3 linked regions of the Nothobranchius furzeri genome follow. The protein of the gene in region 1 purifies or fractionates together with the protein of each later gene. This does not show direct contact. Links are inferred from orthologs where the notes say so. Each region holds a gene or a part of one and is shown on either strand. Other genes may lie near its edges. The genes, in order: ubiquitin carboxyl-terminal hydrolase 15, rnf40 and tut1.

Evidence for each region.
Region 2: the proteins of ubiquitin carboxyl-terminal hydrolase 15 (region 1) and rnf40 purify together in Homo sapiens (affinity purification with mass spectrometry; 4 studies listed by BioGRID and IntAct, with this or other methods). This does not show direct contact. The link is inferred for Nothobranchius furzeri from reciprocal best matches to the Homo sapiens genes USP15 and RNF40.
Region 3: the proteins of ubiquitin carboxyl-terminal hydrolase 15 (region 1) and tut1 purify together in Homo sapiens (affinity purification with mass spectrometry; 4 studies listed by BioGRID and IntAct, with this or other methods). This does not show direct contact. The link is inferred for Nothobranchius furzeri from reciprocal best matches to the Homo sapiens genes USP15 and TUT1.

Annotation. Positions count from the first base shown.
Region 1 is NC_091741.1:53,839,204-53,847,777, forward strand, and holds part of ubiquitin carboxyl-terminal hydrolase 15, read left to right. Parts: intron 1-2,331; coding exon 2,332-2,477; intron 2,478-3,905; coding exon 3,906-3,967; intron 3,968-4,317; coding exon 4,318-4,407; intron 4,408-7,917; exon of another isoform or gene 7,918-8,144; coding exon of another isoform or gene 8,145-8,323; intron 8,324-8,527; coding exon 8,528-8,574. UniProt on the Homo sapiens protein: Hydrolase that removes conjugated ubiquitin from target proteins and regulates various pathways such as the TGF-beta receptor signaling, NF-kappa-B and RNF41/NRDP1-PRKN pathways.
Region 2 is NC_091756.1:31,910,062-31,918,735, forward strand, and holds the start of rnf40 (E3 ubiquitin-protein ligase BRE1B), read right to left. Parts: upstream 5,658-8,674; 5' UTR 5,569-5,657; intron 5,171-5,568; 5' UTR 5,160-5,170; coding exon 5,022-5,159; intron 4,909-5,021; coding exon 4,741-4,908; intron 2,943-4,740; coding exon 2,648-2,942; intron 2,397-2,647; coding exon 2,196-2,396; intron 2,004-2,195; coding exon 1,885-2,003; intron 1,737-1,884; coding exon 1,590-1,736; intron 1-1,589. Other genes in the region: phkg2 (phosphorylase b kinase gamma catalytic chain, liver/testis isoform), read left to right, coding at 6,320-6,414, 6,506-6,681, 6,771-6,825, 6,919-6,984.
Region 3 is NC_091756.1:31,146,465-31,154,054, forward strand, and holds the end of tut1 (speckle targeted PIP5K1A-regulated poly(A) polymerase), read right to left. Parts: intron 6,797-7,590; coding exon 6,606-6,796; intron 6,506-6,605; coding exon 6,299-6,505; intron 6,100-6,298; coding exon 5,985-6,099; intron 5,891-5,984; coding exon 5,763-5,890; intron 5,663-5,762; coding exon 5,436-5,662; intron 5,352-5,435; coding exon 5,242-5,351; intron 3,767-5,241; coding exon 3,644-3,766; intron 2,749-3,643; coding exon 2,656-2,748; intron 2,577-2,655; coding exon 1,468-2,576; 3' UTR 1,279-1,467; downstream 1-1,278. UniProt on the Homo sapiens protein: Poly(A) polymerase that creates the 3'-poly(A) tail of specific pre-mRNAs. Localizes to nuclear speckles together with PIP5K1A and mediates polyadenylation of a select set of mRNAs, such as HMOX1.

The sequences.
Region 1 (8,574 bases):
TACTTAAGTAAAAGTAAAAAATACAGGCTCTAAAAAGTACTTGAGTACGAAAAGTAAAAAGTAAAAAAATTAAACCTTAAATTTAAAAAAAAGCATCTGGTTTGGACTGAGAAGTTTATTTCAACAACACAACAATAATTCCTGGAGATATGATGCTATTAATGTTATTGCTGTCTCCACATATGGGAGCATTTAACTGAAATAGTTTTTTCTGCAACTCGACTTAAAACATTGTGATCATGGAATCAAGGTCACTTCAAATCTTCAAGTATTATTTCCTTCTGACAGCAATTGACTGTTTGAGACTAAATAAACATTTTATTGAGCTTCATCAGAAGCTGGTTTTCAAAGTTCTTTGCATCAACACGTGCCCTTTTGGGTCTGAAAATGAGTCCTGCAGTGCTGAAAAGCCTCTCACAAGCAGCCGAGGCAGGCAGAGGTGTGTTCAGCTTCAGTGATAAATTGCATACTGCTGGAAAAGATTTCAAGATATCCATAGAATCTGATGGACAGGCCAGGTAGGACTCCAGCTGCTTGGCATTTTCCTGATTGTTGCCCTGCCTGATGGTGAAAAAGAAGTCCTCCTCCTCTGAAGAAGAAAAGGTCGTGCCACCTGGCTGCACCACGGGTTGCTCCTTCAGATGACTTCTGATGAAGCCAAGACCTATGAATGACAAAATCAAAGATTATAATTTATCACCTATATTCGGGTCAATACGGCACATTCAGAATTTCATAATCTAAATGTGAACTACGGTAATCTCATGAAGTCAGAGTGACCTGATCATTTTTTACTTTTGTTGTATTTCGTAATATATCCCACCATAATTCATGAGTTAAAGCATCCTGTAATAGGGCTGCTCAATTAATCAAATTTTAATCCCAATTATGATCTGAGTTTTGAACGATTAATAAAATTAGAGCCATTATCAGAAGTTGTGCGAACAATCTTATCATGGATGTTCTGTACGTATGTCATTTAGTGCACCAGCAAGTGCAGAACATGTGTGCGGCCCTTTGAGCTGTTTTTCATACTAGAGCAGCAGAGCATCTTTCCATGGTTTCAGGCTCTATCCCGTGTGCTGAGACACCAATGAAACTTCATCTGTGTGCAGTCCTGCGGTCTGTGGTGGTAGCAATGTACTCAACCACATTCATTGCAGCCTTTAGATGTTTCTTCATTTCCAGTGTTACTTTATCAACTTTGTCCATCATCCATGTTGTTAGTTAGTGTTGTTCTGGGTCTCAAACCGCGCTCACACCGGGCTCTTTCTCGCCGCACCGTTGATTTTCCCTCTGTTGTGTTCCGACAGTTGCGTAATGACATCATCGACATGCGTGTAATACGTGCAGTACGTGAGGTAAATGTCGAGGTAACGAGACCATTTTGAAAATGTAAGGTGTAGAAAGTACAGATATTTGGGCTCAAATGTAGGGAGTAAAAGTAAAGTTGTCAGAAAAAAAAATCAAGTAAAGTACAGATACCTAAAAAAACTACTTATGTTCAGTAACGAAGTATTTGTACTTTGTTACTTCCCACCTGTGTGTGTGTGTGTTTTAACCACATTGATTAATCTGAGCCGAGATCAGTGGACTCAGTGGTCTCCTTTAAAAAGCAGCAGAAAGTCATCTGTTCAAGCTGGCTTAGGTGTGACCTTCATCACCACCTTCTTCTTATTCTGCCTTTCCCCTGGATCCACCGACTTCCCTCTTTCCTATTAATTTTCTCTCTCCCTTTCCTTACATTTTTATCACAATTTTTTTCTTGTTTTAAACACATTTTAAATTATTTGAAATCTTTTTATACTGTGTTTCACATTATTTGTTTTTGTGAAGCGCCTCGTGATTTTCATCTTGAGAGGCGCTATATAAAAGATCGTTTTCTTTCTTTAACAGCAGGGTTTCACTCCTTCCGCTGATTCTCATAATTAAGGCCTGACTGTGCTTCACCAGTCCTAAAGTTTTAATCTTGCTGCTTGGAGTTTTGCTTTAGCAGAATGTTTGTGGATGATATTCTGGAACGTGTGAACTAAATCTGCTTTTCACCTTTCTGGTAAACTGAAATGGGTGTCTTTAGTTCTGTTCTGTGTGTCTAATTGTTAATTGCTTCTGGTGACATTCACTTGATCTGTGTGTTGTAACTGAGTAGTTTGAGGGTTTGTGGTAAAACTACAAGGCCCAGGATGCACCAGGACGGCAGTCCTGTCAAAGTGAATTAGTTATAATTTAAAATAACTGAATTTGTTCTGAAAGAGAATCACCATGATGCTGATCTGTCGGTACAGGACAGTTCATCATAAATGACACTTTGTGTTTGTAATGTTGCTGCAGACACGATAGAGAAGGAGATGAGGAAGCTGTTCGGTATCCCAGATGAGAAGGAGACGAGGCTGTGGAACAGATACATGAGCAACACCTTTGAGCCTCTAAACAAACCGGACAGCACCATCCAGGATGCCGGCCTCTACCAGGGACAGGTAGGAACCTCTCTGGTTTGGATGGCTTCAGAACGGCCTGGCTTGGTAGTTCTTCTGCTGAGTTGAAACACCCCAGTTTGAATGGGTTTCAGCAAGGGCTGGACGATATGGCCTAAAATCAATATCACGATATATTGAGGATTTCACCTCGATAATGAAACATAACTACAGGTATGCGCAGAAACTAAAGTTGTCCACTAGATGGGGCTGTCACATGTATTACGTTAAGTCACATTTTGTGACTCAAGGTGCTACAGCTTCTTAAAGGGACATGAAAGTTGCCAACCTACACACATCTTTTCATTTTTTAAATCAAATTTATTGACATGGGAATAATTGTCTCGATAAGAGTCAGTAATTTCGATAACGATACATTTTCGATTTATTGCCCAGCCCCAGTTTCAGCTTTTCCTGGAGTACACAGGTGAGTGTTACTGCAGGAGGTTCTTCATCTCTCTACTTTGAGTTTAAAAGGCATCAGAATCAACAGGAGCCTGTCCTTGTAATGTAAAGCTGACTCAGAGGGATAGCTCGGATCTTTTCAAGTGTTTATGAAAAAGCCATAATCTGTTAATAAATGACTAAAGTTCGGCTATTTTAATCAATGGAAATATCAGCAATTAAAAAAAATATTTTATGAGCAACATTTTTTCTTCGCCTCTGAATTAGTCACACAGATGGGACATTTCAAACTTCCACATCAAATCCGGTTCTTTTTGAATTTAGCGTAAACAGAATGAGAACATGGATCCATCATGCCTTGTTACCACTGTGCAGGCTGGTGATGTAATGGTGTGGGGGATGTTTTCTTGGCACACTTTAGGCCCCTTAGTGCCAACTGGGCATGGTTTAAATGCCACGGGCTACCTGAGCATTGTTTCTGACCCTTCATGACCACCATGCACCCATCCTCTGATGGCTACTTCCAGCAGGATAATGTGCCATAAAACTCCAATCATTTCAAATTGGTTTCTTGAACATGACGATGAGTTCACTGTACTACAACGGCCCCCGCAGTCACCAGATCTCAACCCGATAGAGCATCTTTGGGATGTGGTGGCGGCACAGCTAATTTTTGATTGATGCCTAAAATAGCCAATGAAATTCAGAAAACATTCATATCTCATATGAGGACCCTTCATGATCTTCTTCAGCAATCTGAGTAAGAATGGTTGTGACTGGTGGATTGCTCCATGCGGTGTGTCAGGCCCATAATCTAAACGCAGAAACGCATCACAGCACCTTCAAATAAACCCTTCTACAAAAATCACCCTAAAGCTTTGAACAAAGGTCACCAATTTCCCCTTAATGCATCAGGGAACTTTAGTGAGTTTTTTTTAGTTATTTTATTATTTAAAGTGCTTTAACATTTGGACTCTAAAGCAGCAGCAGCAGATGGAGCCTCTTTCTTTTTCTGGTCTCCTACAGGTTCTTGTAATAGAGCAGAAGAGTGAAGACGGCACGTGGCCCCGAGGCACCATGGCAACCAAGTGAGTGAAGGGCACGTGGATTTGCTTCTTCGTGTTGTTGACTTCGAGGAGTTTCTCCACAGGAACCGATTGCACTTGGCACACTATTAAAACCACATGTAGAATATGTAGTAATGAGTTACTGCATGTTTCAGAAGCATTGAACTCGACCTTCACTGCACCGTCAACCAGAGTCCCCTCTCTTTGCCTCTTTTTGCTTGAACTTTTGTTGCAACACATCACTCTGTTTTGGTTTGAATTCATCTAAGTTTAATTTGATTGACTGTCTCACACACCCTTTATTTTTATTTGTTTGGGACGGCTCCTTGTTTTCTGCTCTAACTCATGATCTACCCTTTTATCTTTTGAAGGTCATCTGGTGCTTCCAATCTCTCTGCTTTGCCAAAGATCTCGCCTTCATCTCTCACAAACAATCATAACAGCAGCTTCAACAGCAGGAAGTAAGACTTGGCAGATGTGTGGTGGTGGTGGGTGGGGTTGGATCTGAAGAGCCAAAGATAAAACCGGACAGTTGGCTTGAATGTGTTCAAAAACCCTGACTACTTTACAATGGCTCTACAATTTTACCACCAGTGGTGTTTAAATCCATCAAACTTTGTCCTGTTCAGGTGACTTTCTGGCTGTGATCCTGACGTGCTTTTTTTTAGCTGACTGAGCTGATAGCAGAACTGGGGGACAGGCTTAGTTTGGAATAATCTTATATCATTATTTTCTTAAAATGCTCCGGCAGCTCTCCTGAGCTCTTGTTTAAAGGTCACACCTGAGCTGAAACCTGATGGGCTGTTAGTGCAGGTCAGGAAGAGCAGCATGAATCATTTTAGGATTAATTGACCCATGAGGCCTTGCTTTTATGTTTGCATTTGAACAATTTAAACTACAGCCTATTGGAAATGCAGCTTTTTTTTGTGATGAGTGGGTAGTCTGAATCCACGCTCTGGGATAAAACTGCAAGTGCAGACTTTCATTGCTGTCTGAGTGTGAATGTTTATGCATGTGTGTGGTTAAAGTTTTGCATTGTGCAGCAACAAACCTACAATAACAGCCATTAAACAACAAGCTTCCTAAGCATTTTAACTTAAACTTTTTGAACCCAGTTTCTGGGATCTAGAAAGGAGGCGAGTTTTTCCTCAAAGCCTGAGCTACCTTAGAGCAACACTAGAGAGTTTTAACACTTTGAGCTATTGCTCTCAAACTGGTTTCTCTGGTTCTTGAGGCAGAATCTTGAGCTACTCCCCATGGGACAGCATGCCGTTACCCTCTGCTGAGCAGTAACTGCACTAAACTGTTTTGTGATTCAGTAGAAACACTAGTGGGAGCTCTCAACCTGCTTCATGACAGTAGCCATTTACCTTGCTGGTTGCTAATATGAGGGCTAGCAGTTAGCGTTTTCAGCTCGCTGACCGTCAGTAAAGTTAAAGTCCCATTAGTTGTCACACACACAGGTGTGTGTGCGAAATTTATTCTCCGCATTTGACCCATCCCCTGGGGGAGCGGTGAGCTGCAGACACAGCCGCGCTCGGGAACCATTTGGTGGTTTAACCACCCAATCCAACCCCTTAATGCTGAGTGTCAAGCAGGGAGGCATTGGGTCCATTTTTTCAAAGTCTTTGGTACGACCCGACCAGGAGTCGAACCCCTGATCTCCCAGTCTCAGGGTGGACACTCTACCACTAGGTCACTGAGAAAGGTCAAGTATAAAGCTCAAGAAGAAGAAAAAGAAGAATTTAGCTGTTTGTTTGCATCATGGATTGATGGTGACTTGGCTTAGTTGCTACTGGACTTGTAAGTAATGATATTTTTTGTCCAACAATGTGGATTGTTTTACTTTGTGGCTTATTTACTAAAAGATGGCTCATGTTAGCGTTGGCTACAGCAGGCTTGTTAACAGCAGTTGTAATTCTGTGTTTGTCCAGTAGGGGAAGAAGCAGTAACCTAATTTAGTGTTGTTATCATTACCATAAAGGTGGGCTCAGATTCACTTACCTTACCACGCTTTTGGAACTGAAAAACCCTTTGATACAGCTTCCTGTAACATCATACTGTTTAACATATTTTAGTTTTGTTAGTAGTGCAACTACAAGCCTCGGTCAGGCTTGACACAGACTTGGGTAGATTTTAAACAAACACGGTTTAAAAGTATACCAGAATATTGTCTTAAAGGGAGTTTAAATCCCCTGACCCCCCGGCTCACGGGTCCCCAGAATGGGGTTATAAAGGTTATTTTCTGCTCTACTGTGCTTTATTCCCAGAAACACACATGTTTTACTTCAATTTAAATGCTAAATAAATGTGTGTTTCGACTATGTTTGTCATGTAATTAGAGATTTATTAGCTTGCAAAAATTCGTAATTAAAATGACTACAAGTCAGATGTGTGCACATCGCATGAGTCTCCGCGCCTCGTTTCCGCCAGCGTAGCTGCTGCTTTCCACATGACAAGATTTATAGTGTTGTTTTTCGTCCCACGTTTAATGCTGCTTCATTCTTCCTGGAAGAAGGTTGCAAAGCTCGCAAAACTCACAGCAAAGTTTCTTCTCCTCCTTGTCTCATTTAATGACGTTAAATTGGTGAGTCGAGCAGTTGTAGCCTCCTACGTATTTTTCACACAAAACCTAAAATGACTTTTGCCACCTTTCAAAAACAAGTGCTGTCTTGGCATCTAAATGGCCTTTAAAATTCACATCAAATGTTAAATCCATGGGACATATCAAACAGGGTCAGAAAATGGCTTTTATCAGCTCTTTGACCCCCATGTAGATGGGCGTGACTTAGGCTCATCTGAACGCACACGTCCGAGGATTTTACTCCCTTCTGATTTTTCTCTGATCCTTTTTTAATTTTTTTGGACTTTGTTGACTTGAGAGGTGACGTTTAATCAGCAGGTGGAGTGCTGTTGCCCTCCTGTGTGATTTTACTGTGTTTAGGGCCACATGTTTGTTTCATGTTTGTTTCACTCTACATATGGCTGGAACGCAGAAATAAAAGCCGTTGAATAAAAAAATCAGTATTGACACGAAGGGAAAGCGTAGGAGTTGGCTCAGCCCTTTTCTGCTCCTCTGTACTTAGATTACGATTTATAGCCATGTTGTAACGACTCTGCATTGTGTATTGATGTAGCGGTGGTTTTTTTTTCTGCATGGCGGCTTGAGAGAAAAGAGGGTGACTTGGAGAAATTGGATCTTCACTCTCAGCAGCTCTTCTATCCCTGATTCACCCCACAGTCAGTGCTGTCGTTGCCTCTTAATTATGCATGGTGGCCGTGCTTTTCATACGAGGCATTCCCATGTTTGTTATCTTTCTGATGTGGAGGTCTGTGACAGCGGGCGGTGTCCTGTTAACACCTTTGCCTCACAGCCACACACACCTTCTGCAGTCTGCATGACCTTCAAGAGTCCATCCCATCTGTCTTTCTCATCGCCTGCCTCTGCTGCTCACGTGCACCGATGGGGATATTCATTTATTCATTTACAGCATCTCTCATCTAGAGCTGGGTGCAGTTTTACTGCCAAGCTGGAGAAATAAGAGAGTTGGTGTTTTGAGGGGAGAACACACACACGAAGAAGAAAAGGTGACAGATGTTTTGTGATGTGTTTCAGAGGAAGGGTAGAGAGAAGAGACAGACCTGTGAATACTGCAGCCTCAGCTTAATGCAATGAATCAGCTGCTCCCTCCATCCCCACCTCATTTCTCTTCTGTCAGTGCCCCCCCCCCCCCCCCCCCCACACACACACACACCTTCCTATTCTCCTCCCCCTCTCCCTGTGAGCACCTCTAGCTTCTGTAGCAGTCGCGAGCATCCTCACCCTTGCTATAAATATCTGCAGGGACCCGTAGAGCAGCAGGGAACAGGAAGAGAGGAAGGAGAGGACAGAGGGAAGAAAGATGCAGAGGACAAAACTAGAGAGGGGGTCGGGAGACGAGTGTAATTATGATTATTTTTGGGCTTGGAAAGCAAATCCTTCATCTGGACTGAATTGAAACTGGTGCTGGAGTGGGTCCGAGTGAACATGAGGGCTGAACCGTAAAGACTGAAGCTGCACTTTTTCCTCCTCACGCTCTGAAAACGTGGCTTGTCCTTCTTTCGGAGTGGAGCAGAGCGGAACCGCGTCGAGGCTGCTGGTCGCTCGGCTCTGTGCGGACATGTGGGCCGGTGTGAGCTGGGGTGGGGCTGAGATGTCATGCTCCTGTGTTGCTGGTGGTGCCTGAGGTCTGAGGCGGTGGAGCTGGAGCTGGACAACAGGAGGGTGGACCACCGTGTGCTGAGCTGTGGGGCCCCTGTGTCCACCTCCATCACAGCTGCTTCCTTTGACCGGTGGGAGCCGGAGACGACCAATGCTGCGCTGTCAGCCTCCCAGAGGTCCGCTGGTTGCTGCAGCGACTGTTGACCTTTACTATAAAGTGTTTTTAGGGCTGGTGGCTCCTTAGAATTGACCTGCTAGGACTGGAGCTATTCATTTGTTAAAACCTTTGACCTCATAAAATATAATTGGACTTGATAACAAAGCCTGTATCAGTTTCCTGTGTGTGTGCTCAGCCCTCTGATGTATCTGTCGTTTTTCAGTGTGAAGAACTCCAGCTATAGTTTACCGACCTACTGCAACAGCTACG
Region 2 (8,674 bases), on another chromosome or scaffold:
TTTAAACAACCTTTGTGAACGGATGTGAGATAATTAGATTTAGGGACAGACCGATGTATGGGACTGATTTTTACTTATTTTTTAATGCACATTGACCAATATCCCTTTTAGGAGCATCTGTGGTTTGTTGTTATGATGCTGCCAAGTCAAGCACAACAAAGGGTTTCATTTTTAGTTTACATCAAGTTAAGAATTATTAGTAAAAAGTAAATGAATGAAATAACGAACTTTAGATTTGGCTGGTGTGTTTGAGAATACATTTAATATTTTTCAGTAAAGCTGTATATGACAGCAGCCTCGCCTCTGTCAGTGAATCCCTGTGGCTACGATGAAGCTCACCGCCACCAGTGTGTGAATGTGTGTGTGTGTGTGTGTGTGTGTGTGTGTGTGTGTGTGTGTGTGTGTGTGTGTGTGTGTGTGTGTGTGTGTGTGTGTGTGTGTGTATGTGTGTGAATGGATGAATGACAGAATGACAGACAGTAGCATAAAGCGCTTTGGAGTTCTCTGACTCTGAAAGGCGCTACACAAGCGCGGGTCATTTATCGTTCTTTTTTTTTTCAAAAGCACATTTATGTTTTCCAAGCAGAATCTCTGAGAAGCAGCAATAAATATCTCCTGGAGTTGAGAACCTTTGCAGAATGTGTTTGTGTTATTTATATATGCTAATTCATGTAAAATAATCGTGGAAATTGTGAAACCATGATTATTCCCCAGACTAGAGTCATACCATCAACATTTGGTAGCAACCCTGGCTCGAAAGTGCATCTTCCCGCCTTCTGACCTTTTCATGTAAAAGTTATGTAAACTAAATGACTTTAGTGAGTCACAGTTTGACATTATTGGGATGTTTAATACATGCAGATGGTCTGATCTGCCTCGAAGCTCAGATCCACATCAAAAACAACTCAAATGATCACGATGTTTCAGGGCACTCCGACGACAATGATAAATCTGACGATATAACAAAATACAAAAAAATGTTGTCGATATTGATTCATTATTTCTTTGGCTGCCATACTAGGGGCCTTTGAAAAAGATTTTATTCTCCCCAAAGTTCACTTTTCCCATTTTTATTTTCTTAATTCCACATTTCTATTCTACCCACATTTACTAACCTAAAAAATGTAATATTATAATGTGAAAGAACAATTAAGCCAGAATTCAAACCGTCACTTCCTGTTTGTGTGGGGAGACGGGTTGAGCCCACCTGCCTGACCAGGTAACAGGTACGGGGGCCTGCAGACCCCAAAAATACCTCAGAACCACCACGAATCCCTTCTTACTCATACGAGCCAACACTCCGAGATTCCAGCCATGTTTGCCTTCACAACTTTCATGACTCCATTCTGCTTGACCCACATGAGGGTAATGATGTGCTGACATCATCTAATTAGCATATCATGATATATTCTTTGTTAACCGGGCAGGGAACAAAAATACTGATATTATGAAAGGTATGATATGGCCCACCCTTAACAAGAGTTCACGAGCCTATCCCGCACACACACACACATGCACACGCACACACACACACACACACACTAAATATAGAAGCTCGGGAGCATGTTTACAGCTGGTATGAAACACACCTGCTCCATGGCTTCTGCCAGATGTTTGTTGAGCTTCTGTTCTCTGTTACGAAGTTTCTCAATGTCCCACTGAAGGTCCTCCACTGCCGTCTCCATCTCAGACACTTTAGTTTCTGCACTGGTCACTTTGTCCACCAACTCATTGTACTGCAAGAAATCAAGGCATCATAACAACAACACTTAACCGCTGTGATTAAAGCATGCTCAATCTCATAAATATCAATGGATACACAGACTTCTGCATTCACACTTACAAATACTAACATGCACACTGACACAGGAATGAAAATTGTACCTCCATGGACATTTTGTGGTGTCGTCCCTGCAGGAGGTTGGCATGGTCTCGTAGTCGGATGTGTTCGTCCAACAGGGAGCGGTTCAGCCTGATGTCAGCCTGGCTGTCGTCCTCTGCCACTAATCATAAATAACAGTTACACAAATACACAAAAACTAACATCTGTCAAAACCACACTCATTTGTCCTGTAGTCGTAAGATAAACAACTAATTTAACAGCTTATCCAGGCATAGAATAACATTTATTCAATCAATGAATGAGTTGCAACATTTACCTCCTATGTATGTGTTATTAGAGGTTTGTTAGGTACCTGCAGCCTGGACCGCCCTGCACATGTCGTCGATGCGACTGTGCAGCCTGTCAAAGACTTGCACCAAGTGGGCGATGGCTTCTTTGCTGAACAGCATGCGGTCCTGGAGGTGCAATGAAAGCTCCTCCTCGCTGCTCTGCTCCAGCATGGTCAAAAAGCCCTTAGCATTCTCACTTAAGGGAGGGGGAGGCGGTGATGTGTCTGGACATAATATTAAGTTGTTATGAACAAAGCAAATCAAGCTAGAACTCCACATTACGACCTAAATCACTGCCCTGGTGCAGCTCATTACAAAAATGTCACTTTTTTTGATGAATGCAGATTCACAAGATATTAGGTGCGAACAAAGCCGTGAACACTATCATTTACATTTTATTCACAAAGAATGTCACAATGCAGGAGCAAATTTCAACAAAAAATCGTTTTAGAAAACAAAATAAAAAGCTGCTGACCAGTTTTTGAATCCTGTGGCGGTTCCACAGTAGTTAGTAACTCCTCTGATCTAGCAGGAGGATGTGGCACCTCCTGATGGTCTTCCAGTTGATTCTCTTGTTGCTGCGGTTCTGTGAGCTCAGTCTCACCCTGGGCCTCCGGCAGAGGAGGTGGAGGCACTGTAACCAACGGTGATGCCAGGCTGATGGTATCCGTGGGTGTAGCATCGGGGAGGGCTGAAGGTGGCGCAGGAGCAGATGCTGCTGTTGATTCTGGCTCAATATATTTGCGCAGAATATTTACATTTTCTTCCAGCTGTAAGTAAAAACAGAACAAACAAAGTTTGAATATTTTGAATGGTTACTGTTTTAGAAGCATAACACACATCAATTTCAATTAAATTAAATTCTAAAATACTTTATTAATGCCAGAGGGAAATTGATTGCTGTAGTAGCTCAGAATAATAATAATAATCAAGTCATCAAAGAGTTATTGTATATTACAATGGCTGTTGGCAGGAAGGATCTCCAGTAGCGGTCAGTGTTGCAGCGAAACTGAAGAAGCCTCTGACTGAAGACACTCTTCCGTTGTCGGACAGTCTTGTGAAGAGAATGCTCAGGGTTGTCCATAATTTTCTTGATTCTCTGGAGAATCCTTCTTTGCATTATCTCCTCCAGCGGTTCCACAGTCGTCCCCAGAACAGAACCAGCCTTTTTTATTAGGCTGTTGAGCCTTTTCAGGTCCCTGCTTCTGATGCTACTACCCCAACAGACGATGGATGAAGAGATTACACTCTCAACAACAGACTAGTAGAAGATCTGCAGCATCTTGCTACAGACATTGAAGGACCTAAGCGTCCTCAAGAAGTACAGTCTGCTGTGTCCCTTCTTGTAAACGGCTTCACTGTTCTTTCTTCAGTCCAGTCTGTTGTCCAGGTGAACTCCAAGGTATTTGTATTCCTCAACCACCTCCACATCTACTGCCAAGAGTTCAACATCTGGGCTGCAGAGACGACATTTCACCGAAACATGACCTGGATGGCACCATCCGTTGTTGACAAGCACTGCCACTCCACCTCCTTTTCTTTTCCCGCTCCTGCTCAGATCTCTGTCTGCCCGTACAGTCAGGAATCCTGGCAGAGAGACGCTGGAATCGGGGATATGGTCCTGCAGCCACGTCTCACTGAAACACATAACACTACACTGCCAAAACTCTGGCTGAGTCCTTCAAAGGGCTTGGAGTTCATCCATTTTGTTGGCCAGTGATCTCACATTGCCCATTATGATAAATGGAAGAGATGGTTTGAATTTCCTCTTTCTCTGTCTCCGTTTTGCTCCCGCTCTGCATCCATACTTCTTGCGTTATAGCTCATTTGGGATTTGTGGCTTCAGTTGAGGTATTATTTCAGCCTTTCCAATGTTAATCAGCTGCTACCGATTGTAAACCAGTGTGTTGCCATGGTTACGCATCATAACAAATGTTCAAAAAGTGAAAAAAGTGAAAAATAGCAGTAAAAATCCTCCAAGCTTCACAGCACCAGAAACAGAAAAGTAAAATGTCCAAAAAATACAGTTTTTCTTGAGAAACTAGAAGAAAAAATGTCCACGAAAAGGCAAAACTTACAAATAGTCAACAGAGCTACTCCAACATGCAGCCACCCAGAGCAGCGCAGTTCCAGAGTTCACAACACTTAACATTATATAATAATACATAACAGGTCTCAAACAAGTGTATAATGTAACACAGCTTAAACACAGTATATTAAACATGCATTACTATTATTTTCAACTCCAACATCAACTTTGGGAACCACAGCTTTAAAATACACAAATAATGTGATTCTTCTACAAAGTGCAACAGAGCAATCTAGTAGATTAATAAAGTGATTAATGTCTTTATACTTCATCATTTTCTAAACTCACAATGCACAATATCCTGCCATGATCAGGTATGAGGACTGGACAGATAAGGAGTGGAAAAAAACAGTAAAAGTCTAAAGAAAATTTTAGAAAAGCTGCACACAAAAGAAAACCTGGCTGATTGGATAGAAAGCATAAAGAAGTAAGGGATTATTTAAAGCTTTTTTCCCAGCCATATCCAACGATTAATGTACCTGAGTCCAGTAGCGATTGACGATGAGGAGGGTGGTGTCATCAGTGGCTTGTCTCTTCTCCAGCTTTTCGATTTTCTCTCGTAACTCATCTTCCATGGCCTGTCTCTGCTCCAGGCGCTCACATAGCTTCTTGTTCTTGAACTGGAGCACCTTCATGTCCATTTCTTCCTGTAGTTCATCAACAAAAACACCCAAAATATAAGACACTTTACGTGTTAAAGTACACCACAGTAATAAACACACTTCAAAATATTTTAACTAGTAAATCTGCAGGGACTCACCGTTGAAGAGACTCCAGCGATTCGTATTGGTTCGATCAGTGTGGTGGTGGTCTTCTCCTCCTTCTTGGTCTTCTTCTCAGGTGGACCAGGGGGACTATCCCCTCCAGAAGGACGTTTTCCTCCCCCAGCACCTGACATCTTTCCTTAGCCTTCATAAAAAGTTCAAACAACGTTAATTTTTGGAGGCAGCATGAAGAGATTACGGAATTAAACAAATTATAAATACAGTTAGAACCCGTGTGAACGTTACTTTCGCAGGGCAGGTACAACATTTACAGCTACGTATTAGTAGAAGTCAGGAGTGTATAATGCCTCCTTGTAATTATTAGCCATCTTTTAAAAGAAATACAGCACATTACATTTTCTTGTTAAAATTAACTATTTTGCTAATGCTAACTCTCGGTTAGCAGGACAGCGATCTTTGTCCAACACAGCAAATAACGGTGGAGTATTGTTTTATTTACTAACTATCATTAAATGAAGAATCATTTCTACGTAAAATCATTTACAGAAATGCAACAAATGACAAAAGTTGAACGTTACGCACCTTCGCAAGGAACGACCGAAAATATAATTCAGAACATAATGCAACAGGAAATGACGACAACGCTTCTTCTTCTACGCTTAATTTGCAGAGCTTCTTTTGCCACCTAGTGTTGAAATGTAACTTTGTGAGGTTTTGAACAAATTCACCGATTTAAAAAAAAAGAATAACATTTAAAAATTACATTAAAATTATTGCTACGCATGGTTTCAAAAATATCTCACGGTTGAGTGATTCATTGCGTCAATGTCTAAAAACTAAGAAATATCTTGATCCCGCAATCTCCTCTGCCACCACACAGGGGCAGTATTGCTACTTCAGATATGAACCGGTTTCAAACGACTTCAAAGGAATTTTACCAAACTGTAAATAACGCTCCGGTTTATGCTAGCAGATATCCGGCGTGACTTCACGATAAACAGCTCGAGTTATTTAATGGCTTCGCTACACTAACTCGGGATCCGTCTCCTTCCCCTTCTCGCTGTTAGGTGAGTAGCTTCCTGTTCGGCCAGTCAGTGAGCCCTCTGCTACACAAGGCCAGACCAAAGACGAGTTCACCTTACTGATATAAAGGATAAAAGCTAATTTCTTGTGTGTTTAAACTCTGAGGTGTTGTCAAAAAGTCACAGGTATAGTCTGTGTTTGGAATCAAACCAAACGAAATGGGAACCCCTTATCAGGAGTTAGCTCAAGTAGTTCATGGTAAACAAGCTGTACTTTGACATGTGACGGAGTTTGTTGCTATAGCTTCATCATGACCAAGGACATCGTTGTCGGAGATGAATTACCGGACTGGGTGGGAGCTAAGGAATTCTACCAGAAGTATGACCCCAAGGAGGTGATCGGCAGGTAAGTCCAGTCAGGCAGCATGACACTCCATCCTCCATGCCTGGTTGGTGATAAGAACATGATGTTCTTTTGAACTGGTGTGGTGCTGTAGGGGTGTGAGCAGTGTGGTACGCAGGTGCGTGCACAGACACACAGGTCAAGAGCTGGCAGTGAAGATTATTGAGATCACAGCGGAGAAGATGACAGCCCAGCAGCTGCAGGAGGTGAAGACCTCCACCCTGAAGGAGATCCAAGTCCTCAACATGGTGAAGGGACACCCCTCCATCAGTATGTTGCCATTCTGCGCTCCAGGAATATTTGTCTTTTTCTGTATACCAAGACCTAATGCTGGTTTGTGTTTGTCTGATTCCATGTAGTCACCCTCATTGATTCCTACGAGTCCACCACATTCATATTCCTAGTGTTTGACCTGTGAGTATGGAGAAAAGGAGCCAAAATACAATAATGTTTACTTAAGGAAAACACGAAACAATGAAGCACCAACGGGTCTGTTTTTGTCCCCAGCATGAGGCGAGGAGAGCTGTTTGACTACCTCACTGAAAAAGTTACCTTGAGTGAAAAGGAGACCAGGTGAGCTCTAAAATCGACACACTCTCCATCAGTTTCCAATAAACGTTAAAACGCGTTTTGAAATCTGAAGCACAAATCATTTAAATACACACACTCACTGGCAGCTCTATTTGGTGCCTTTCTAGTAAATAAGAAGTAAGCAATTTTTATTCATACAGCACTTATCACAGACATAGAATCACAAAGTGCTTCTAGTGCTGGGTTGACCCTCCTTTGTCCTTCTGAACCACCCTTACTGGTTACAACCATACCAATCTGGGCTGTAATCAGTGGTTATTTGAGCCACTGTTGCCTGGAACCAGTCTGCCTGTTCATCAATTCATCTACCACTCACTAGATACTTTCTTTTTCTGGGACCATTTTCTGTTATTGTGCACGAAAATCACAGTAGAGCATCAGAATCTGATGGCACAAACTACAAATCCTCTTCCTCTGTCCTGATCCTCTGTTTGAACTTCAACTTGCCGTCACCACATCTAGACGACTGCTTCAATGTGATTGGCTGATTAGATACTGAACATGTGGGCATAATAAAGTGGCCAAATCGGAATCGGCTGTGGAAAATCGGATTTAACCATATAAAACGACAAACGTGACTTTTCAAACGAATCCTAAGAAAGAGATTTTCAAACTGAATAACAATGGCTTTGTTTTAAATTCAAAAAGTTCATCTATATCAGTGTTTTTTTTTCAGAGACAACAGCGCTGTAAAGCCCTACAATTTGAAGTAGCTTGGGAATTCACACACCATAACATGTAGCACAGAGCATAGTTGTCGCCTCAAGAGAGAGAAAATGTCTGTGATTTGGCTGGATTTTTAAACGAACAGCAAGGGGAGTGTAATAGACACATGCAATGTGTGCAAACTGGGCATTTAACGAGGTGACAAAGGTAGTGCTGCACCACCTTAAAAAACTGATCCTGCTCTGTTCGCTGCAACAATTCGGATAAGCCAGCTGATACGAATAAAAGATGTGTAGAAAAAAGAAATGGTCTACGGACAGCAACAATGCCAACATGGCAGAATATTTTTTACACTGGATGAGCGTCTGTGGTTGTGAACGTCAGGTTCGAAAGGCTCCTTCAGTCGCGGTACGATCTGCGTTCTCTCACAGACGCAGCAGCTCTACAGGTGTTTTGTAGAAAAACGTTACTCTGCTGCTGACCGTCATGAGCCGTGCCATCCCTGTCCCTAAAAACAGCTGCACACAGAGTAATTGACTGAAAATATAAGCGACAAGGCTACTTTTACAAGTATTCTCAATATTAACACATTTCTTATTCATTTAAATGTTAAATGACAATTTATTTTTACATTTATAATCTGTTTTTTTTTCATGTTTTATGAAGCTTTATTGAACGCAATCAACATCCAAAGTATCGATCATCTCCTTTATCAACATAAATCCAACAACACAAAGATGCTGCTGTAAACAAGACAAAATCAAAAAGCATTCAGCAGGCTATAAAAGTAAAGATTTGCACTAGCAACAGAAATGATGCTGATGCTAAAAAAAACTAAATATATATATAAATTAAGTACCTCATATCATTTTATTCTTTATAGATTGTTTTATTTTATTTGTTGTTTTTATTTTGTTTTTATTTTTTAACAATTTTTTTTATTGATTTTCTTCATTTGGGTACCAACACATATAATGCAAATATCTCCACTCAAAACATAAAAAAA
Region 3 (7,590 bases), on another chromosome or scaffold:
ACGAGGAAGGATGTTGTTGGTTTAGCAGACAGCAGAGAAAATCTCTGCTAGTAGAAGCTAACTGTTAGCATTAGCGACTCCACCACACAGCAGAACTCCTCTGGGATTGTGTTATTTATGGAGACAAACCATCACCGTTGCAGAGCAAACAGTTAGTGGTAGAGTCACATTGCTGTTAGCCAATCAGAGGCGAGATGTCCAAATATCAGGACATAAGACTCTAAATCCTGCTGTCTGAAGCTACTTTCTACTCTGGCTGAATTCTCCGTGCTAAAACAAGCACACCGGCATCCTTTTTCCCCAGAGTACAACTCACAAGGCATTAGAGACCACTGCCGATCTTTTAAAAATATGAGTGTAGGACCTCGTTAAATGCTCTGAAAACTAGAGTGGATAAATGGGCTCCTCCTTGCATCTTAGTGTCTACAGATGTAGATTAACTTTACGTTAACGTCATTGTTTTTCTGACTGATAGATATCTGGTAGATTTTGTCTAGTCCAACTCTTTGACACCCAAAGGAATTGTTTCACCGTGCTCTAGAGAAACATGACCTAGTCTGACTCAGAGGTGCAGACTCTGGTTCGCTGAACACGAACGCCAACAGAATCACATCATTTGCATAAAAGCAGAGAAAATCCGAGTTCCCAAAGCGGACACCCTCCTACCCAGAACTACAGCTTCATATCCTGTCCTTGGGTACCACGAACAGGGCTCACACAAAAGAAAAAGGGTTTCAAGTATCTAAAACATCATCTCAGTGTTAAATTTGGCAAAAGTAAATTTTTACATTTTTTTCAATAATTCCCAGAACATGTTTTTGCATTAAGTTCTTGGATCTTACACTGATTTTCTATGTAATTACACAACAAACGCCAGATTAATAAAGTGAGTCAGTGTCAGATCTGCACGCGGGACGCCTCATAGATGGCTCCATCATCCGTCTTCTCCGTACCTGCTGGCCGCTTCCCTTTAAGGAGTGAGATGAATGGTGTTAATCAGCAGACGGGAGCTCTTTGCATCACTCAGCTCCAGCTTGTCCTGCTGTAATAAAGCAGCCTGCCCAGCTGAGTAATTACGCTCATCAGTCTTAGCTGCAGCCGCTAACATCTGACTGAATTAAAGCTTTCAGGCGCGCCCAGAAGCATGCCACATTAAACTGACAACCTAATGTTTTGCTTAGTTGTTGGACTTAAATGATGTGATTTAAGTTATTGGTTGAGAGTAAAATGTGGGTGTGGTCCTGACTCAGCAGAACAGAAAAAGGACGCTTTTATCAATTTCAAGCATAAAAGTTGGATTTTATTTATTTTTTAATAAAGAAACTAAAACAGACGCTAAATCTGGAGCCTTATTCAGGCATGAAACTAATCACTACTGAACAAGTACAAAAAATATGTGAAAACAGAAGTAAATCTCTTCTCCCTCCTCTGTCAGGGATTCATGTTTTCCAACATTCATCAGGTCCTTTAGGACCCGCCTCCTCCTTTCTCCAACACTGTCTCCACCATCTTTGGTAGGAAAACTTCCAGGAAATGAAAGAAGTCCTGGAAAACTCCCGCCCCGTCGCTGCTTGGCTCCATCTTGAGCAGTGCCTTTGTGTTCTCGGTTCCACCAACCATCTGGGGCTGAACTTTGAACTCCAGGGGCTGCTTGAGCCCCGGCTCTTTTTCCACGATGTAAGCTGAGACCTGGGACTCCAGGTCCACGCAGCTCCCCTCTGGTTTACACTCTGCGTCCTTCATGAGCTCTCGTCTCACTCTCCTCCTGCCAGCCCACACCATATGCTTCTGCGCGCACGTCCATGGAGGGACTTCGTGATGCCCCCTTTTGGCCAGTCTTGGCTTTTTGCCCTGAGGTGACACTGAGCAATCGCTGCCAGAGGACAAAGGCCTCTTTGCACCAACGGTCACCTCGCCCTGAGAATCAGCACTCTCTGTGCTGTCGTTTAACGAGTTAAAGGAAGCCGACGCGGTTTCTGTTCCTTCAGCCGCAGCTGGATCTTCTCTAAACACAGCATCTGCAGGAGCATGGAGGAGGCACTTGAGGACAGTTTTTAGTACGACCTCCACAGCACAACAAACCTTCTGGAACCACAGCAGCCTGAAACCATCTCCTGCCACCTGCAGCTCATCCTGAAGCTTCTCAGGCAGCGAAGTGGCCTTGAAGGGGATGCTGATGGCCAGCTGCTCTGGTTTTGTCTGCTGCACCTCCATGTGTGGGGTCAACAAGCGCACAAGTCCCCAGGACTTCCCTTTAGTGGACTTGTGCTGGTACTGTAGGCTGCGGCAGTACTTGTCAGCCTCCTGGCACTCCTTCAGGAAGCTGCGGTGAGAGCGTTCGTTCAGGTTTCCCGCCACGTTGTGGGAAAGCTCGAAGGGATCCAGGAGATTCAGGGGGCCCAGTTTGGGACCAGGCAGATGGGACTTGGTGGGTTGTTCTTCTTGCATCGTCTCATCCTGTTTATTCTGGCTGAGGAATTTTGTGATCGGAAGAGCACGTCCCTCCCTCAAAGAGATGACGCTACCGGCAAAATCAAACTGGGCGTAGAAGGAGAAGAAGCCAGCGAGCAGCGAACCTGAAGAGAGAAAACATGGAGGTTTAGTGATGCTTGGAAATGTCAGCAGGAAGCATGTTTCTGTTTTTAAATGACTTACAGAGGTCTTGTGTGTTTTTACAGGGCGGCACAGCGATCGGCTGACTTGGGAAGGTGCAGTTCCAGCCTTCAATCACACACTCCTCCTCCTCACCTGCAGAGGATCATAAAAAAACACACAGTTAAAGTTACTTTCCCGGCTCTAAGGACAACAGAAAGCCATTGAAGAGAAACTGGTTTGTTAAAACATGAAAACTAAGCAGTAAAACCTCTAAATCAGTCCTAAACTGACAGAAGGCCAGTGGAGAGAAGCTACGGCTGGTGGCATGTGCTCCTGTCGTTGACCGACGGGTAAAGGATGAGCTGCAGCATCCTGGATCGTGTGTGAACGATGTAGACATACAGAGCATCATAAAAACATCAAGAGATATGGCCTCGCCCCAGTGATAACTCTCATCACACTCATCACTAGCACAGATTAGAGACTGGGCATGCCAAAGAACACAGAATAAACAAGAATAATCCAGTTTTTAACAAACAAGTCCAGATAGTTACCTGTGCTGCTGTGTTTAACTCGGGTTAAACCGTCTGGGTGTCGAGACAAAATTCAGTCTAAAATCTATTCAGGACATAAATGTATGATTACTACTCCATCGCTACATAGGGAGAATAAAACAGCTGGAGGCGAACGGTAGCTGCAGGTGGTCACATCGACCTGATTAATCACGTCACAGAAGAGAAAACTCCATGTGGAAAATTAAACAGACATAACCAAAATAAATTATACAACATTTTAGTTTTCTGTACATTTTTTCATCTTAATCTGAGGAAAAATCTTAGTTCTAAAGATGATTTAGTCGCGCGCCCCCCCCCCCCCCCCCCCAAATAAAAACATTTTTTTTCCCTTGATAGCTCAAATAAGACTAACTCAAACCCTAAAGTATAATTTCAGCATGAATAATTTTAAACACACCCGTGCAGTTTCCACCTCACGTGTCTGCACGTGCAAACAACACCTGCTGATGTAGGAGCGGACAGGTGGGACTTACAGGACATATCTCTGAGCTGGTCCACGGTGGGGAGGACAGGAGGATCACAGTTCTGCAGGTAGAAAAAGACCAGCAGTGTCAGGGCGTAGTTGTTGAGGAGAGGACCCGAGCCACTGGGATTACCTGCAGGATGATAAACCAGGAAATGTCTGTGCTATGTCATGTTATAATGAGGCTGCTGTGTGTGACCGGACAGAGAGCCAGTCCATCGCAGGGCAACACAGACACACAGGACAAACAATCATGCACACACACACACTCACACCTAAGGACAATTTAGACAGACCAATTAACCTAACAGTCATGTTTTTGGACTGTGGGAGGAAGCCGGAGTACCCAGAGAGAACCCACGCATGCACAGGGAGAACCTGCAAACTCCATGCAGAAAGATCCCAGGCTGGGAAGTGAACCCAGGACCTTCTCGCTGCAAGGCAACAGCTCTAACCACTGCGCCACTGCGCAGCCTCAAAATACTAACGTTCAGTACTAAATTAGTTCACGAAGAAACCAGGTGGCACTGTCATTAAAGCAGGAGAGCTGCTACAGAAGCCTGGAGGTCCAAAAACACACAAGAATGTGTTTTTTCTCAGGAACGGCGATGCTTGCACACAGACCCGTATGGAAGCATATCGCTGGGCAATGCACAACAGAGGGAATGCGTTTTCATCCTGGCTGCAGCTGGATGATGGACAGATGCTGGTGCTCTGGTGTGTGTGTGTGGGGGGGTGGGGGGGTGGGAGGGGATGTGTGAACCTGGTGTGAACGAGTCACAAGAAAGATTGAATAATTTGCAAAATAAAACAACAAAGTCACTAGGTTGGCAACACGAAGGAGTCATAATTAAAAATATATCAATGCCAGTTGTGTTTCCTCGTGCTGACTGTTAAAGCTCCACCCCAGCAGGGGTCTAGCTGTCAGACGGGGTGGAGGTGTGTCCTTCACAAGCATGAAGCCAAAGCCAAATATGAGATCCAAATCAGATTATAATAAAACTTAGCTGAAAGTTTTTTTTGTGATTGTCTGGAGCTGAAATCGAAATAGCAAAAACATTTTGATTAACCCAGAGCTCTCATTTAAAATGTGTAACTTTATGAGGAGATTCTGTAAAAGGTGCTGCTGTGTTATACCGATGGAGACTGGCTTTACCTTCTACATAACCAACCGTGATTCCTGAGTTCAACTAGTCTCCCAGAAACTCAAATTCTTTCATATATTGTGTTAAATGTGTTTTGAAGTTAAAAAGTTTGTTTCTAAGACGCAATAATTTGCTTTGATTATTTGTATTTGTGGAAATTGGCCTCAATGATCAAAGCAATCGCTCCAAGTCCACAATTTCATCTTAAAATGACACTTTGAGATGTCATCACACACTCTTTAATGAAAGGTGTGTTTGCAGCACCGAGGGGGGAGTTCAAAGGAAGACACGGACCTGGAATAAAAGGTAATTGCTTTTCACAGCAGAATCCCTTTAATAAGATTTCATTTAATATCAATGCCTGCACACAAAAGGATTCAACAACAACGATCAAATGAGGATCAGACTCAGTGTAGCTCTGCTGACATCTGCTGGTGAAAGCATGAACAGGACTGCATCCTACCAGCTAACTGCTTCTGCTTGGCCCAGTAGCGGATGGTGTAGACCAGGGGCCTCAGCCTCTCCTCCACCCCTGAACACAGCTGGAGGAAACGCGTGTTCCTCACGCCAAGTCTAACAAACAAAACAGGAAAACAATAACTCCTGCATGTTTTCATTTAATTCACATCTCAGAGATGTAAAACCGTCCTCAGAGACCTGTTGTTGAGCGTGATGTCTCCCTGCAGGTTGAGCTCATGGTGATGGAACTTGACCACAGGGAGGCGAGCGGTGCTGACTACGTGGACCTTGTGCACGCTGGGGACGCAGCGCTTGAGGATGGTGGCAACCAAGTCTAAAACTTCAGCTGGAGAGGCTGTGGACAGATCGATGTCAGACAGGATGGAGTCCTCAGAGTGGGCATCGTCTGACACTCCTTCACCCGCCTGACGACCGGGCGCAGGGAGGGAATTTGTTAGAAAAATGTGACGTTTTAGCTCCGAATGTGTGAACTACAAAGATTTGCACCTAGATAAACAGTCAGACCTGCTCTGTGCTGGACTTGGCCCGAGCTTGGAACACCTTCGTGTTTTCTAGGTCCAGGAACAGGTCCAAGTCACACGAGTGGACGCCAAAAGTGTTCACAGATGAACCAAAGGGCAGAATCTGGCTGTCTGTGACCCACGTAATGTTAAAAACAGAAAAACGCTGATTTTTTTTATCATTAAGCCACAGAATCTGAATGTTTACAAGTTTTAAAGCCCTCACCTGGAAAGAATTCAACAAAAACCTCTTGAAGGAGCTGAACCAGCAAGTCTCGAGTCTTCTTTTCATTTTCTCCCAGCTGAAATCGCTCAACTATGAACTTCATCTGGGCATCCACCTGAAGGAGCGAGAAAAACTGTTTTAGTTCAATCATCTCAAAAAGAAAAATAGAAACACTTGATTTACTGAGCTGTACGACACATGAACCATGAGGATTATCATGCTGTATTTTCTTTAAATAATCTGTAATAAATATGTTGCCCAGCTGCACGGTTCATTTCTGATTATGTCAAATCAGTTCTAGTACGGATGCTCACAGATCCCAGCTGACACAAGTCGGGTCTGAGACGATCTAGGACCTGCTGGAGGTTCTGGGGGTTGTTCTTCTTCTTGGGAATTAACTTAAATTCCTTCTTTTCTCGAGGCTTGACCCGCAGCTTCAGCCCCTTCATGCGGTGCTCTACACAGGACAAAGCTGCCTGGATGCTCTCCGTTTCACTGAACTGCACGATGGCAAAAACACCCTGTGAGCACAAACACACACACCATCAGTCACTCTGCCCATGATTATAACACCCGGCCTCTTTCATGAGAAGGCTTCATCTAATAGGAAGTCCGTCCCACCTTGCCTTTGTCCATGATAACATCTGTGACGGCCCCAAACTGCTGGAAGTATTCGGAGATGTCCGTCTGAGAGATTTCAGGCTTGATGCCACTGACAAACACACTGTGCTCCTCCTGGTTCTTCCTGGTGTCTCGTACAGTCGTCAGGGTCTGATGCTTTCGCCCCTTCACATGCTGATCGACACTCGGCACTGGTCGGCAACAACATCAAAGTATTTAGTAAATCAGAGGGATTTCTACCACTTTACATCCTGATTCACTGTGTTTAATCAAGTTTTTGTTTATTCTAAAGAACTATTTCTTGCAGATTAAATTTTAAACACACAAGTTGAGATCTCCGTAAGTAAAAATGTAAAGAACAGTCTGAACGTTTTACCAGCCACCGTTACAGATGTTCAGATTTATCTTACACTAAACAAATGGATCTGTTTCTGGATTTAAAGAGCAAGTCACCCAAAAATAAACCTTTTTTAAATGAGAAACTAAATAAATGTGTGTCTAATCGTGCTGCAGACACATGTAGTCAATAGTTTTGCACTTGTTAAATTTTTAATTTTCTGCCTTAAATTGTCAGTGTTGTGCCGTTGTCAGGTAAAAACTCTGCTCTACACTTGAATTTAAATCTGCCATCGCTCTTGGCTAAGAGGTTTCCTAGAATGTTAGCTGGTACCATATGATGTCACAATGTTGTTGTGAGCCTATGTGTGTGTGTATTTGTTAGCGGCTGCACCCTCTCGGTCTGCTAGGCAACAGCATTTGTTGCATTTTTCAAACAGGAAGTGGGAGTGGAGTAATACTCTGGTAGGGGGTGACTTGATCTTTAAATGGATTTTTCTGGAGACTGATGCCATTCTGTCATCCTTCAGAAATGTTAAGTTCGTAGTTTCTTTAGTCGTGTACTGCTGGGACTTAACAAACCACGAGACCAATCCCTAACCAATTCAGCAGGCCTTAGCAGTGTCTCATTTTACAGCTCAAGATGGTG